Linked DNA regions of Tamandua tetradactyla. The protein of the gene in region 2 purifies or fractionates together with the protein of the main gene of each other region. This does not show direct contact. Links are inferred from orthologs where the notes say so. Each region holds a gene or a part of one and is shown on either strand. Other genes may lie near its edges.

Region 1 (8,097 bases), on a different chromosome or scaffold from region 2:
AGCAACTGAGACCATATGGCCTGCCGAGTCAAAAACGATTGACCAGCTGGCCCTTTTCAGGAACGGTTTGCTGATCCCCTGCCATGGTGAATCTCATTTCATTCTCGAGGTGGCCCAATACAACAATTATATAATTGTGCCCATTTTATGGCTCACAGTGAGTAGGTAGCAAAGCCAGGAGTCAACAGGATGAAGCATCCATAGAATGTCATCAAAAGCTTGTTTCACCATCCCCCTGCCAGTATTTGACCAGGTTCTCACATCTGGGGAAAGGGTCTGGGGCAAAGCCTGCCCACTATGTTGGCTAAGAAATAAACACTGTGTTCTAGTTTGCTAGCTGCCAGAATGCAATATAGCAGAAACTGAATGGCTTTTAAAAAAGGGGAATTTAATAAGTTGCAAGTTAACAGTTCTAAGGCCAAGAAAATGTCCCAATTAAAACAAGTCTATAGAAATATCCAATCTAAGGTGTCCAGGGAAAGATACCTTGGTTCAAGAAGGCTGATGAAGTTCAGGGTTTCTCTCTCAAGTGAGAAGGCACATGGCAAACACAGTCAGGTTTAGACTGTTTTCATCTGGAAAGGCAGGTGGCAAACAGGGCATCATCTGCTACCTTTCTCTCCTGGCTTCCTGTTTCATGAAGCTCCCTGGGAGGCATTTTCCTTCTTCATCTCCAAAGGTCACTGGTTGGTGGACTCTGCTTCTCATGGCTATGTCATTCTCTGCTCTCTTAGAAGCTCCCTTTTATAGGATTCTAGTAAATTGATCAAGATCCACCTAGAATGGGTGGAGACACGTTTCCACCTAATCCAGCTTAAGAACCACTCTTGATTGAGTCACATCTCCAGGAAGATGATCTAATTAAAGTTTCAAACACACAGTACTGAATAGGGATTAGAAGAAATGGCTGCCTTTACTAAAATGGGATTAGGATTAAAACATGGCTTTTCTAGGGTACATACCTCCTTTCAACTGGCACATTATACCCTCTGGACCCTAAAAAAAAAGACATGTTTTCCCCATATACAAAATACATTAATTCCATCATAATATCAGAAATCCTTAAACCATTTCAGTAGCAATACAAATGAAATACAAAGTTAGAAACAGTGCAAACTCCTATCAAAGTTAGTTACAGGCATAGTCTGTCTTAAAGAGAAATTCTCCTCTGGCTCTGGACCTTGATTCAAGACAAGTTATTTGCTGCCAACATACAAAGGAGGAACAGTCATAGGATACCTATACCCATTTCCATAGGGAGGAATTGGAAGGAACACAGGGGTCACTGGACCCATATATTTTTCGAAAACCTGCAGGGCAAAGTCCATTAGATTTCAAAGTCTGAGAGTCATTTATCTTCAAGGTTTTAGAAAGCAACAGTCCCACCCTTTCCAAAGGCCTTCGCAGAGGCCTGCCTCTCTCTGAATGCAACTTTGGGGGACATTGAGGAGACCACCTTTTTCCCAGCTCCACCTTCTCCAAGGATCGGGGTCTACACCTGGGCTCTCTGCCATCTCCAGGACACATGTTCAACCCCTCCCTTTAGTGGCAGCCAGGCTCTCCCCAAACCCCAAGGAACATGCTTCACCCTCTCCAAGGCCTGAGGCATCCCACTGCAACCAGGTGGAAGGCCCACCCTCTGCCTTTGGGGTAAACTCACCCTCTCCACCTACTTGGGTGCATCCACTCTCCTGGCCCAAGGCTTCCTGATTTCAGACCCCAGCCTCCTTGGCTTTGCCTCTGAAGTTATTTTTCCTCCAGTGTGTCCCTTCTCTGTCATTCTCAGTCCCGACTAGCAGTGGTTCTCTTTATACAGATCCCACAACGCTCTCATTGGCTTTCTATGCAGTAGCCTTGGATCATGCCCGTCAGACATAAGGAGTTTCCACAAACCCTTCCTGGATAACTCCATGTCCAATCCTGGCTCTCTCTGAAATGGCTGACTGGTTTCACATTTGGCCAACCCCTCACATGGGGCACTATTCTCTGGGGTCTCCCTTTCTAGAAGCCCAGAATTTTCCAGAACATCAATTTCTGGTTTCTTTGTACTCAAGAGTTCAGTTCTCAGCTTCTCTCTCTCTTGTTGCATGTCACTGTAAGCTGTGAGGAGGAACCAAGTTGCACTTTCCACATTTTATTTGGAGATCTCTTTGGCTAAATATCCAAGTTCATGGTTTTTAAAATCTGCCTTCCAGCCAAAGCCACTAGTCAAGTTTGCCAGATTATCTGCCATTTTAAAACAAGGATTGCTTTCCTCCCAGTCTATAATAATATGTGCCTTATTTCTGTCTAAGACTTTATCAGAAGACTCTAAAGAGTCCACATTTCTACAAACAGTCTCTTCAAAGCATTCTAGGTCTTCTTTATCAAGCTCTTTATAACTCTTCCAGAATCCTCCCCCCATCCATTTAAAAAGCCATTCCAACATGTTTGGTATTTGCAAACCACAGCAGCACCCCGCTCTCAGTACCAAAATCTGTTCTAGTTTGCTAGCTGCCAGAATGCAATATAGCAGAAACTGAATGGCTTTTTAAAAAATGGAATTTAATAAGTTGCAAGTTTATAGTTCTAAGACCTAGAAAATGTTCCAATTAAAACAAGTCTATAGTAATATCCAATCTAAATTGTCCAGGAAAAGATACCTTGGTTCAAGAAGGCTGATGAAGTTCAGGGTTTCTCTCTCAAGTGAGAAGGCACATAGCAAACACAGTCAAGTTTTGACTATTTTCATCTGGAAAGCCATGTGGCAAACATGGGGTCATCTGCTAGTTTTCTCTCCTGGCTTCCTGTTTCATGAAGCTCCCTGGGAAGTGTTTTCCTTCTTCATCTCCAAAGGTCACTGGCTGGTGGACTCTGCTTCTCATGGCTATGTCATTCTCTGCTCTCTTAGAATCTCCCTTTTATAGGATTCCAGTAAAGTAATCAAGATCCACCTAGAATGGGTGGAGACATGTCTCCACCTAATCCAATTTAAGAACCACTCTTGATTGAGTCACATCTCCAGGAAGATAATCTAATTAAAGTTTCAAACACACAGTACTGAATAGGAATTAGAAGAAACAACTGCCTTCACTAAATGGAATTAAGATTAAAACATGGCTTTTCTATGGTACATACATCCTTTCAAACCGGCAAATGCTGTTTTAAAGGCCCTGCCCTCTACTGCCTTCTCAACTCCCTTGGGGTTTGACCCTGTGGCTGCTCCTCTGTCTCCAAGTAGGAAAGGGCTCAGGAGCAGCGATGTGGCAGGAAAGAAAATCTCAAAGCTGTTTGCAGAGCACTTTAAATAAGATGAAGCAATTGCCAGTTGTTCTTAATCGCATTGGCCTGCCTACTGGTGCCCATGGGATTTTTGAACAGCCTGACCTTGTGGCCTTCACAGTTGCCCTATAGACATATCATCTTTAATTGGAGAATTCCCCTGGAGAAGCATTTCCCCTTCGCATCCCCCACTTGGCTGTTCTGCTGATCTCCAGCCTCATCTTTACACGGTCACCAACCCACAGTCATGCCCAGAGGTTTTATACTGGACTGAACTGGGGCCATAGGAGAGTTTTCTTATATTTAAAAATAGAGATTTAACATAAAACCTGGACTGCTCAGTTTTTCTTGAAGAACAGGATGCTTTGGCCCTGCTAGTGCCCACTCCCTTGACCCTGGATACATGCTGACAGTTTGGTTGGTGGTACCAGTCACCAGGTGCCCACTTCTTGCGTTGATACCACTGGCCTAGCCCTGGAGGCACTTGAGATTTCAATGCCTGCCCAAGTTACCTCATAACGCTAGCCATCTCTTAGGCACAGCCTTGGCCCTGACCGTGCTCCTTGCCAACTTCACCATTCTCTCATGACACCTCCTGCTGTAGATCACAGCAGCTGGCACCACCTGCAGAATGAGCTCCTCCTGCCTGGTGGGATCCCACAGCTTTTTATGCAGCATTGCATCAGAGTCATTGGGCTCCATGCCTTTTCCTTCTTTGAGAGCAGAAACCTACTCTTGTTCCTTTGTGTGTTCAACACTTGGCACCAAGACTAGCACAGAAAAAGGCCCAGGAGTGTAACCAGGAAAGAGATTAACCAACTTTTCCCTCGGTGCATTGCTGGCAGACAGAGTAAAGGCCCTTGTATCCAAAGCCAAACCTCCAGGCCCAGTTCTCAGAGGCCTTTGCTGGTTTAGTGGAGGGGTATGGTCCCTCCAGACAGTGTCCTTTAGATTAAGCCCACTTGGAGTAATATTTCCAATCCTAGTCACTTTTTACTATACCCCTTAGCCTCTGTTTTCATTCTTTTCTTCCTCTTTAGTCTCCTAGGCTGCTCGAGCAAATACTATAAAATGGCTAGCATAAACTACGGGAATTCATTTGCTCTTTGTTTTGAGCCTAGGACAGAGACCAAATCATGGCATCATCAAAGTGATATTTTCTCCCTGAATACAGGAGAATACAGAATTCAGGAGTTCCTGAATTCTGGGACTGGCTGCTGGTGATCCTTGTTTCTTAGCTTGTCACATGGCAAGGCACATGGCAGCATCTTCTCTTCCAGGTTCTACTGATGTTCAGCTTTTGAAATTGAAAGTTCCCTCTGTGGCTTTCTCGTTTTGTCTGAATTTCATCCCTCTTTTAAAGATTCCAGTAATAGACTTAGGACCTATCCTGATTGAGGTGGGCCACACCTTAATTGAAGTAACTTCATCAAAATGTCCTACTTATAATGAATTCACATCCACAGGAATGGTTTAATTTTCAGAACATATTTTTCTATAGTACTTACAGCTCCATACCACCACACTCCACCTACTTTTCCCATCCTCCCTCCATTTCCTTTCCCAATGAAGTCACTTTTACTCCCACCTCCCACCTCACTTTGGAGCCTGCTGCTACCTTGACCTCCCATAGCTGATGGATTCTCTGGAGACAGCCCCTGTCTTCACGTGTCCTTTGTGGGTCATAAAGGCCCATGTGGTGAGGCAGCCGGCAGGGAGGGAAGGTGCCATGCATGTCAGCTCAGCAGCTACAGAACCCCCACAGGGACCACACACTTCAGAACTCTAAGCAAACTTGTGCTACATTATATGTGCTTGCCTGTGCAGGTTTGTGTTTTCAGGTATGTGTTGTGTTTCCTTTCCAGAGTCTTAAACTATTAGAGATGCATTTTATGAACCCACCTAAAATCACAGGATGTTAGAGCTTGGGGGAGGAGGGCACTTAACCAGTCTAGTCCAGGGTCGCATTTGTAGAACCTTGGGATATCTGAAGATGTTGAGGATCCAGTGCAGGGGCCAGGCAGGTAATGTAAATGAGACAGTGGGCAGGGTTTATTTAATTATGCTGCTTTATGTTAGGTTCTTTCAGCACCCAAATAGATTTTGCTCATTTGACACCCCGGAATAGTCTTCATTTTCATAAAGAAATCTGTTGTCTACTAATTTCTTGAAGCATGCAGCCTCTTCCCTCTCTCCACCATGTATAAAATGGGATAATAATTGTGTGGCCTCCTAGGGTTGTTGGGTGAATTAAATGAGTGATTCGAGGCACCATCCTTCCGTCAGGACCTGGCGCACACTAATTGCATGTATAATCGTTAGTGCTCTGGTGATTCCAGTGATGATGATCTCACTTTTGCCGGGAGATGTGAACTTTCACTTTCATCTTTACTGTAAAGAAAACTGTTCAGGCAAGACGATAAATGGCATCTGGGACTTAGCCTCAATGGCTGGGAGAGAGTGGGAGAGGTAGAGGTGGGGAACTGGCAGATGCTGGGCCATCCATCAGGGCGCTGCCCCTCAGCACCCAGGCAGGAACACAGGCCCTGTGTTGCCAGGTCTTTTCGTTTTTCAAAAGAAACCAGAAATCAGGATTTTTAAATGTCAGCTCACCCAAGCTGTAAAGGTTGGCTGAAAAAAACATTCTGTTTAAACCTTAGGGGGATCAGACAAACATCTGCAGGCTGGCTTCAGCCAGTGAGCTAGACTTTGGATCTGGTCTGATCGCCGTCATCTATCGGATTCTGAGGCTTAGGCACAGGGGAATTAAGTGCCCGCTGACACTTAATTCTCCCATGAGTAAGGAGAACAAGGCCCAGGTCTGTTGTGAGACCAGCAAAACCTTCCTCCTAAAGAGCCCACAGGGTGGAAGCTTCTGCTTTGTGATGGAGATTTCATTTAAGCCTGCAGAAGGAAACCATGAAAACCAGAGCAAAGGGTTAAACTCTTCTTCTTTCCCTCTTTTCGTGTTGTTGCTCAGGATCCCAAGCCTTCTTATTCTGGAGAGTTGCAGAAGAGCAGAGCTTATTGCATCAGACTAAGGAGGTTGGAACTCTGGCTCCCCCTCCTACCAGCCATGTAACCTTGGGGGTATTACATTTTATTTCTCAGTACTCAAACTTCTTTTTTATTTTTTGGCTTGGGCAGCCTTCAGGAATCAAACCCAGGTCTCCGGCATGGCAGATGAGAATTCTGCCACTAAGCCACTGTTGTACCGCCCTTGACTCCTAAATTATAAAATGGAGATAATAATAGGACCTTCCTGTAGAACTGCTATGAGGATCAAATTAATGCATCCACTCAAAATTCTTAGAATGATACATGGCACTTGGTAAGCTCTAGTAAAAGTTAGCTGTCAGAGAAAGGGATGCATTTTTCCTTATGGTTCTGGGGGATCTCATGCACCATTTCCTGTGTTCCCCAGCGCAATTTGGCAGATTTGGGGGGGGTTGGGGGTGGGGGAGTAGATACTCCAAAAGTTCTTTAATTTGGATACATACACATAGACACACATAGTTTCACAAATTGATTGTCCATACTTGTATTCAATGGGGAGGATGGGATTAGATCAGGGTGTGAAGTGGGAATGGATTTTGGAGCTTCATATGATGGATAGAGAGGTAGAACAAAGTCCATTTCAGCCTGGGAAATGTGCTGTCACATAAGCTACTGATTAGATTACATAAGTGTGGCATTTTCTTATCTTTACAGTCCAAATGGGGAAAAAAATCAATATTTTCCAATTATCTCCATTGGGGTATTAAACTTACTTTGTCATATTTCATTTCACCATCCCAGAAATAGTGAGGGGAAAGGGCCGGGAAGGCACATTACAAGTGAAGATGAAGTCTTTACTGCAGTTCATAATTACACCGCCTGTCCCTTCCTACATTGTCCATTCAGAAATGTGGTCATTTACTCATTCATCGATTCTGTTCATGTCGACGGGTCCCTACTCCTTTCCAGCCACTGTTCCAGATGTGGAGAGTTCAGTGGTGGAAAAGCAGAGATTCAGCTGGGGAGACAGACCACAAACACACAAATCATAAGGGAAAGCTCAGATAAGCTCTGGGCAGAGGATCCAAGGAGGAAGAAATGGGGGCGGGTCCCCTCTGAGGAAGTAGGGCTCTTCCAGTTGAGAGCCCATGTGTCAGAAGGAGCCAGCCTGTAGGAGACTGAAGGTAAGAGTCCTCCAAGAAGGGATCAGTGAGGGCAAAGGCCCTGAGGCAGGAAGGAATTGTACATCCAAGAAGCAGAAGATAGGCCAGTGCAGCTCTGAGGGTGTGAGTGTGAGGGAGGGGAAGAAAGAAAAGAGTGAGGTCCGGGAGCCCACATGGGGTCAGCCAGGGAAAGGATTTTGGATTCTTCTCTTCACACAGAGGGAAATTTTGGAGGGTCAAGAAGGCATGAGATATGGCCGTATTTAGAGATGGCCACCGTGGGAAAAGCCAGGCCCTAGTGGAGACAGGGACACCTACCTGGTGGATATTGAAGTTCAATGAGAGATCAGGAAGGCTTGGAGAGGGATGGTGCCAAGGCGCCCATGGATGCAGGGTATATCTGGGAGGCAGAATTCAACAGAACTTGCTGGAATCCATGAATAACAGTTTCTGGGTAAAGAAACTAATAACTGCCAAGTACCTGTATGTGCTGGGCACCGAGAAGTGTTTTACATGTACCGTCTTAACCCTGACAATAAACTTAAATGGAATGGGGACGATTAAGATTCCCAAACAGGTGACAAGTGGAGCCAGACAGGCTGACCCAGAGCCTACCCTCGTAGCCACTGCCCACATGGTCCCCAGGCGCTCATCTGATTATGAAGCCGCCCAAAAA
Region 2 (7,740 bases):
CTCTGGATTGGGGGAAAAATGCTACCATGGATGGTATGAGAACAACTGGCAGGGTTTGGATCTGGGCTGAATATTAGATGATAGTATTTTATCAGTGCTAAACTCCCAGAATTTGATGATCATATTCTGGTTATTGTAAAAGAACATCCTTGTTCTTAGGAGTGAACGGTGACTGTGCCTGCAACTAACCATGAAATGGTTCAGCAAGAATAAGATTAAAAACAACAGTGGCTACAAACAATAGTAATAATAATAGATGCAGAGAGAGAAAGCAAATGTGTCGAAATCCAGGTGCAGGGTATATGAGTGTTCAGTACGCTATTCTTGCAACTTTTCTGTAGGCTTGGAATATTTCAAAATGTAAGTTAGAAACAAAATAAAATTAAACAGAAGGGATGATTTCAAAAGAAAATTGGGGGATTTAAAATTTTTGCTTGGCTATCTGAACTTCCCCCAAATTCCAAGACAATACAAATAAAATGTGGGTGAGGATAAACTCTAGTATTTTGTTTTTTTACACAAGACTGTGGCAAATGGACTTTCCACGAGGATCTCACAGTTCCTGTGCCCAGAGAATACTCAGAATGTATTTTCTGTGGCCTGTGGAGGGACACAGGAAATAAAAACATTTGTTGAATGGGAGGGACTAAATCTGGTATGGCATCTAAGATAACATCTAAGATAACCATGTGTTCTGGTTTGCTAGCTGCCGGAATGCAACACACCAGAGATGGATTGGCTTTTAATAAAAGGGGATTGATTTTGTTAGTTCTTCAGAGGAAAGGCAGCTAACTTTCCACTGAGGTTCTTTCTTACGTGGGAGGCACAGGATGGTCTCGCTGGTCTTCTCTCCAGGCCCCTGGGTTCCAACAACTTTCCCCGGGGTGACTTCTTTCTGCATCTCCAAAGGCCTGGGCTGAGCTGCTAGTGCTGAGATGAGGAATGCCGAGCTGCTTAGCTGTGCTACCTTGCGATCTCTCATTTAAGCACCAGCCAATTAAGTCAAATGTCACTTATTGCAACAGACACGCCTCCTAGCCGACTGCAGATGTAATTAGCAACAGATGAGGTTCACTAACATTGGCTTATGTCCGCAGCAACAAAACTGGCCAAGTTGACAACTGAATCTAACTAACACACCATGCCCTCATTTAAGCTATAGTGATTTATTAACATTCACTTTTTTTTTAAACTCTGGAAACACAAACACATGCAGTCAAATCACATGAACAGTTGAAGAAATTGTATAAAAGGAGAAGATAGGTAGGGAAAGAAAACAGAACTCAAGCTTTAAGGCTAGAATACAATCATACACCTTAAAAGTTCATGCACCTTAAGAATATTTGTGTTTAAAAAATTTTTTTTTAAAAAGTTCATGCACCATTTCTGGAGATGTGCTACAAATTTTTCCTTTGGAAGGGATGAGAAAAACAATGCAGGAGAAAGATGTTTTTCCTGGTATGGAATCCTCCTTAATCTTACCTTAGTTGCATGCATCTGTTATAATGCCCTGTTACTCCATATTTCCCAATACCAAATAATCATATTTTTGAAGAAAGTAGATACTCCTGCTTAAAAGAGATCTCACTGTGTCGCATGTTCACAAAGACAGCAAACCACAACCAACCAAAGCAACAAAAAACAAGAAAGAGGAGGAGGACGACAAAATCAGCTATTTAGAAACAACTGGCAGGTCTCCTCAGAGATACGCCTGAATCTAAGGCGAGGACAGTGAATATAGAAGACAAGCCAGGGGCATCTTATAGTGCTAGAAAGCAAGAAAATGCTAAAAAAAACAAACCCACAATGATGGGGTATGTCAAAGTGACCTAGGAATGGTCTGAAAGAACTCTCAAAGCTGGAATATTTTGAGCAACAAAATACAGTAGAATTAGATTATGAACCAAAGTATAAAACAAATATCCATGAGTCCACTGAAATGAATAAGTAAATGGCTCAATAAAAGGGGAGCAAAGAGAAAAATCTCTTGTTTCAGTTTCCTGGGCTGTGCAAGCAAATACCATGCCATGGGTCGGTTTAAACAATGGGAATTTATTTGCTCACAGTTTTGAGGCTAAAAGAAAGTCAAAATCAAGGTGTCAACAAGGTGATGCCTTCTTCCCAAAAGACTGGCATTCTGGGACTGGCTGCTGTTGATCCTTGGTCTTTGGCTTCTAGGTCACATGGCAGTGTACATGGCAACCTTTCCTGGCCTCTGTGCTTGAATTTCAGCTTTTTGCTTCCTATGGCTTTCTCTCTCTCTCTCTGAGTTTCGCCAACCACACCTTAACTAAAGTAGCCTCATCAAAAGGCCCAACTTACAGCAGGTCCACACCCACAGGAATGGACTAGTTTTAAGAACTTGTTTTTCTGGGGTATATATAGCTTCAAACCACCACATGGCCCATGTAGAATTTCAGATAGTTTACGTAGAAACTCTGTCCTCAAAGAGGTAGTGCTTCACTCCCCACTCCTTAAGTGGCATCTGCACAGAGCGCAGCCTTCTAAAGTGCACAAAATAGGGCGAGGAGGACAATTAACTTTACAGAGGAGAAACCTGACAAACACTACCTCAGCCAGGTGGTCAAGGCCACCATCCACAGCGATAACTCCTATTGATGCATGTATCTTGGTTTGATGAGATGAGAATGGCACTTTACCTCAGTGGATTTCCTCCCCTGAAACCATAACCACAGTCTAACCCTAAGAAAAACACCAGACAAACCCAACTGAGGGACATTCTACAAAACACCTGATGGATTCTCCTCAAAATGTTCAAGGTCATTGTGGTAATTAGGTTCAGGTGTTAATTTGGCCAGGTGTTGATGCCCCGTTGTTCTGTTGTGTGAACTTCAATCATTAGCATGTGGGATTCATCTATGGCTGACTACATCTGCAGTCAGCTAAGGGGAGTGCCTTGGGCAATGAGTGATATTTAATTTAATTAGCTGGAGGCTTAAAAGAAGAGGTCAGCAGCGAGCGCAACACAGCTCAGCCCACCTCAGCTCTTTCAGCTCAGCACTTTCAGCTCAGCCCAGACGTTTGGAGCTGCAGAAAGGAATTACCCTGGGGAAGCTGTTGGAACCCAGAAGCTGGGAGAGAAGGCCAGCAGAGATCAACCTGTGCCTTCCTGTGTAAGGGAGAACCACAGAAGAAAGGTAGCCTCCTTTCCTCAGAAGAACTATGTTTTTAACTAAATAAATCCCCTTTTATTAAAAGCTAATCCATCTCTGGTATATCGCATTCCAGCAACTTGGCAAACTAACACAGTCATCAAAAAAAGGAAACTAAGGAACTGTCACAGCCAAAAGGAGTCGGAGAAGACACGATGACTAAATGTAAAGTGCTACCTGGATGGGAGTCTGGATAAAAGGACATTAGAGAAAACTGAGGAAAACTAAGGAAATATGATTAAAGTATGGACCCTAATGAACATAATGTATCAGTATTGGTTCCTTAGTTGTCCCAAATATCCTATAGTAATATAAGATGCTAATAGTAGGGGAAGCTGGGTGTAGGGTCTGTGATCTCTTTGCAACTTTTCTGTAAATATAAAATTATTCCCAAACTAAGTTTATTAAAAATCTTGTTGATGGCTTGACATTTCCTCTGATTCTAATCATAAGTAAGTAAACTCCCATTCCTTAGGCTGAACCATTTCATGGTATTTGCTTTAAATAGCCTAAGGAACTAAAACAGAAGACAGAATGGAAGCAGATGACCAGTTAATAGGCAGTCACAATTATCCAGGTGAGAGCTGAAGTTGCTTGGATGAGGATGGTGGCAGTCACAATTATCCAGGTGAGAGCTGAAGTTGCTTGGATGAGGATGGTGGCAGTCTGGGGTGGAGTTTTTAAAAATGTAATTCTGCTCACATCATTTCCTGCTTAATTCCCTGCAAAGATTTCCCATACACATAGAATAAAATCTGAACTCCTGGGCCCTGACTACTCTGCCCATCTCATCCGGTCCTGTTTCCCCCCTCTGGTACACACGCCTACTGTTCCCTTTCCTGTGTGGTATCCCTGGCCCTGGACTTTACGTGGCTGGTTCCTTCCTTCCCTCAGGTCTTGGTTTAAATGTCCATCCTCAGAAAGACAGTGTTGCAATTCCCCGCCCCATCCCCACCCCATACCAAGAACAGAGCCTGGCATGTAGTAGGTGCTCAATGAGATCTAAGAAACTTTATTTTTCCCTTTTGCTCCTCTGAAAATAACAACAAAAAGGCAGGAATGATGCCACTGGCACTGCTTTCGCAGCTGTATACTCTAAAACCCCAACTGGCCCCAGAGTTACCTCCAGCCTCCACACCAATCCCCTTCTTTTTTGCTTACTTCAGGAGTTATTTTCCCCTGTCAGAAGCTAATTTCCCCTCCTGTCCTCTATACCCATACTTGAGGGATTGACCAAGAAGAGCAGTCTGTCCCCAGGCAGTATGTGAAAATAGAAGTCGCGGCAAACATATGCCTTTTTCTTCCGCTTCTGTCCAATCTGGGAACCAGCTTTTACTAATCAAGACTTTATAGAATGAATCGGACGGAAAGCGAACAAACGAAAAGACCAAACGGGGCAAACAAACCAGCTGCGACAAAGAACTGAAAAACTAGCCAAGACTCTCCCGAACCTCAAATCCGAAGGGCCCAGAAAACTAGTTCAACAGGGGTCTCCTGTTAAGCCCCGCCCCCGGGAGGCGGTCCTGGGCGTGGCTTCCCCGGCATGGTCCCGCCCCCTTCCCAGTAGGGCCAGAGCGCGCCCGGCGGTTGCCTAGGAGATGAAACACAGGACGCCAGAGCTTCACCAGGGAGCGAACGAGGTAAGCGGCGGGCGCGGGCAGGTAGTCCAGTCCTGCGAGGCCGGCCCGGCCTGGCCCCCGCCAACCTCCGCCGAGAACCCGGGCCCGGACGCCGGTAGGGGAGGGACGGAGGGAGGAGGGTCCTGGAGGGGGCGGGGCGCCTGGGAAGGGGGCGCTCCTGCCGGCTGACCGGGGCTCCCCGAGGCCCCCGGGACGGTTCCCTTCTCTCCTAGACTGCGGGGTCGGCGCCGGGGGGCGGGGTGGGGGGTCGGAGGGGGCTTTCCGTGATCGGAGCGATCCCGACCCAATCCCCCCACCCGGCTGGACTGGAGGGGACGGTTCTCCCTGGAGGAGGGCGGGGCGGGATCGGGTCCCGGAAGACGGTGGAGTTGAGTTCAGAAGAGTCGAAGAACAGAAAGGGAGAGGGAGAAAGATAAACCTGGGTCCACATGCCGTCCGCGATCTAGCACCCCAAATGACACGCAGGTAAACGCGGGATCCCCGCGCAGGGGGCGCCAGGGGACTGCAAGCGACCCCTTCTCCATAAACCCGCCACCCCCCGCCCCGCGAGTCTTTTAACGGCCCTGATTTGTGGGAAAGGATCAGACCATCCATGAAAACGAAAACTTTCTTTACTGCAGATTAGACGTTTTAATTTGCGGACAGGGCCAAACATAGAGTTTTGACGGAGTGGGGTAACATACAATTGAGCTTTAGTGGCCAGGACTCTCAATTCTAAAAGGAAAGAGATTCTGATTGTGTTTAGACACTTTTTTAGAATGAGCAGCACTTATTCTAATGATAACGAAATTTTCATCGAAGGAACCAAAAGTTCTCCGACTGATTTTGAGCAGAAAGTAAGATCAGAAAAAACAACCTATTAAGGCGAAACAGTGGTGTGGGCAAAAAGTCACATTCCAGGCTTTTGAGCTCCCTTTATCTTCCCCCACCCTCCAAGGGAGAACCGTTCTTCCTCTGAAAAGGAACAGTTTACTGCTTTTACTACACAAAGCTGGCCTTGGGCAGGGATGTTTGAACTCTTCTGGGGTGGTTTTGTTTTGTTTTTAAATGATTTGTAAACATTGGCACAGAGCACTGTACCTTTTCGTCTTTTTTGAAGACAGGACCGTTTCTTCCTCATTATTTTGATTTTTTTTCCGTTTTGTTTTTTAAACTTAGCGATTTTTAAAACATCAATTACCTTTTCTTTTTCTTTCTTTTTTTTACATTAATGCCAGTTTTGGAGTGATATCATTACAGTGTGTTCTATAAAGACAAGTTGAGGACATCTAAAACGTTACCTCTTCAGTGACTGTCAGCTGCTTATTTTACCCTTCATTTGCCCTCTATGTTAATCTTCTTTAATCCCGTATGAATCCCTTATTAGCTGACAGAAGCTGTTGAGAAGAAAGCTTAAGTTTACCATAATTATGCACTTAGAGAAACAGTAATTGTGCACTTAGGTAAAAGTAAGAACCAGAATGGGAGAAAAATTATAAGGGTATTGATTTAACATAGATCAGTAATCGAACCTCTAAATAAATGTCTTTTATTTAAATCAGAATGTAAGGTTTGTTTACCTCGTAGAAGAGTCAATAAATATTGTAGCTTGATTGTAAAAAAAAAAAAACTCCAGCAGAATTCCTATCAGTTCTATTAAATTAATTGACATTCATAGCATATTACATTTGTTTGTTGTATATATAGATAGAAAGCTAGATACATATGTATGTTTTTATATATATTTTTTTAGAAATGAGATAGTATATATTTTTATATGATTTTTATATATTCATGTATGCAAGAAATTGTTACTACATCCCTATTTGCAGAATTAGCTTTCCATAGATCAACAGAGAGGAATATATATAACTTATTGAAAAATATTATTGTTGTTCATGAACGAGGGACCATAGAAAGCCTGTATTTTCTTAAATTACATATTGTGGTTTTGACTAATATGAATCGGTTCGGGACCATGCTATGCTACTCAGATAGAAGTAGCTGTTTATGTGCTATCAGTGAATGGGGAAATGGGAATAATAAAAATGACACCTTCATCTTTGTATCTGCGCTTTTATACATGAGGCCATTGCCTCTGTGTTTTCAGGAGGATAGAGGGGACGGTGGAAATGGTCAGCTTCTAGAGAGAGTCTTATTTTGTAATTAATCTGGCTCAAAATAGGCCTTTCCAAAGTTTTTGCTTAGCACAGAGTACTTAAATGCATTTCACTTCAGGCGAACTGGTGGAGCTCAAATGGGACAGATTCTTACAGGGCCACAAATCTGAACTTTAAAAAAAATTTTCTGTCATACCCATAATCTCCTCCACTCCATCCCTCCAACAGAAGGAAGCGGGGAAATAGCCACGCCCTTTGTTTATTCTTCCCCAAGCGAAGGTACACCCTATCCTATAGCCATCCTCAGTTTAAACAAGATTGGTGTTTATTTGGAAGACGGTTCCTTAGACTTAGAATGCAGTTTCCCCAACAGCCTACTCCAAACACTGCCGGGGCTTCCAGGCCAGTGCACAAAGTCACCGCCTGCTGCATGCCCCGTTGGTGCCAAAGGTGCTGGTACCGGGAGGGCCACCCTTCCCAGCCTGGGCTGGTGGGATGGCCTTAATATTATGGAAGAGGAAGAGAAAATTAGCTCCATCACTTTTGCAGGTTGTTGAGCCAATGTGGGGTTAAAATGTTGACGAGGACTTCTGGCAGTCTTGCCTCTGAATTTCTGTTCCCACCTCTTCTCCCCACCCCCATGTTAGTGGGAGCAGCTCTCTCATTCATTCCCTTCTCAGGCAATATGTCCTTTTCCAGAATCGCCTCCATTACTTAGCAGGCCCTCAGTGCTTGTTGTCCTAGATGAGGTGTCAACATGAAAATAATTTGGCTTAAAAAAAAAAAAGATGCTGCTGTTATCCCATTAAATTTCTTAATTTGGTAATT

Evidence for each region.
Region 1: the proteins of MAK (region 2) and KATNIP purify together in Homo sapiens (affinity purification with mass spectrometry; 3 studies listed by BioGRID and IntAct, with this or other methods). This does not show direct contact. The link is inferred for Tamandua tetradactyla from reciprocal best matches to the Homo sapiens genes MAK and KATNIP.

What each region holds. Positions count from the first base shown.
Region 1 is NC_135349.1:25,965,007-25,973,103, reverse strand, and holds the start of KATNIP (katanin-interacting protein), read left to right. Parts: upstream 1-4,913; 5' UTR 4,914-4,994; coding exon 4,995-5,102; intron 5,103-8,097. UniProt on the Homo sapiens protein: May influence the stability of microtubules (MT), possibly through interaction with the MT-severing katanin complex.
Region 2 is NC_135351.1:13,786,823-13,794,562, reverse strand, and holds the start of MAK (serine/threonine-protein kinase MAK), read left to right. Parts: upstream 1-4,732; 5' UTR 4,733-4,813; exon of another isoform or gene 4,814-4,907; intron 4,908-5,145; exon of another isoform or gene 5,146-5,278; intron 5,279-7,740. UniProt on the Homo sapiens protein: Essential for the regulation of ciliary length and required for the long-term survival of photoreceptors. Phosphorylates FZR1 in a cell cycle-dependent manner. Plays a role in the transcriptional coactivation of AR.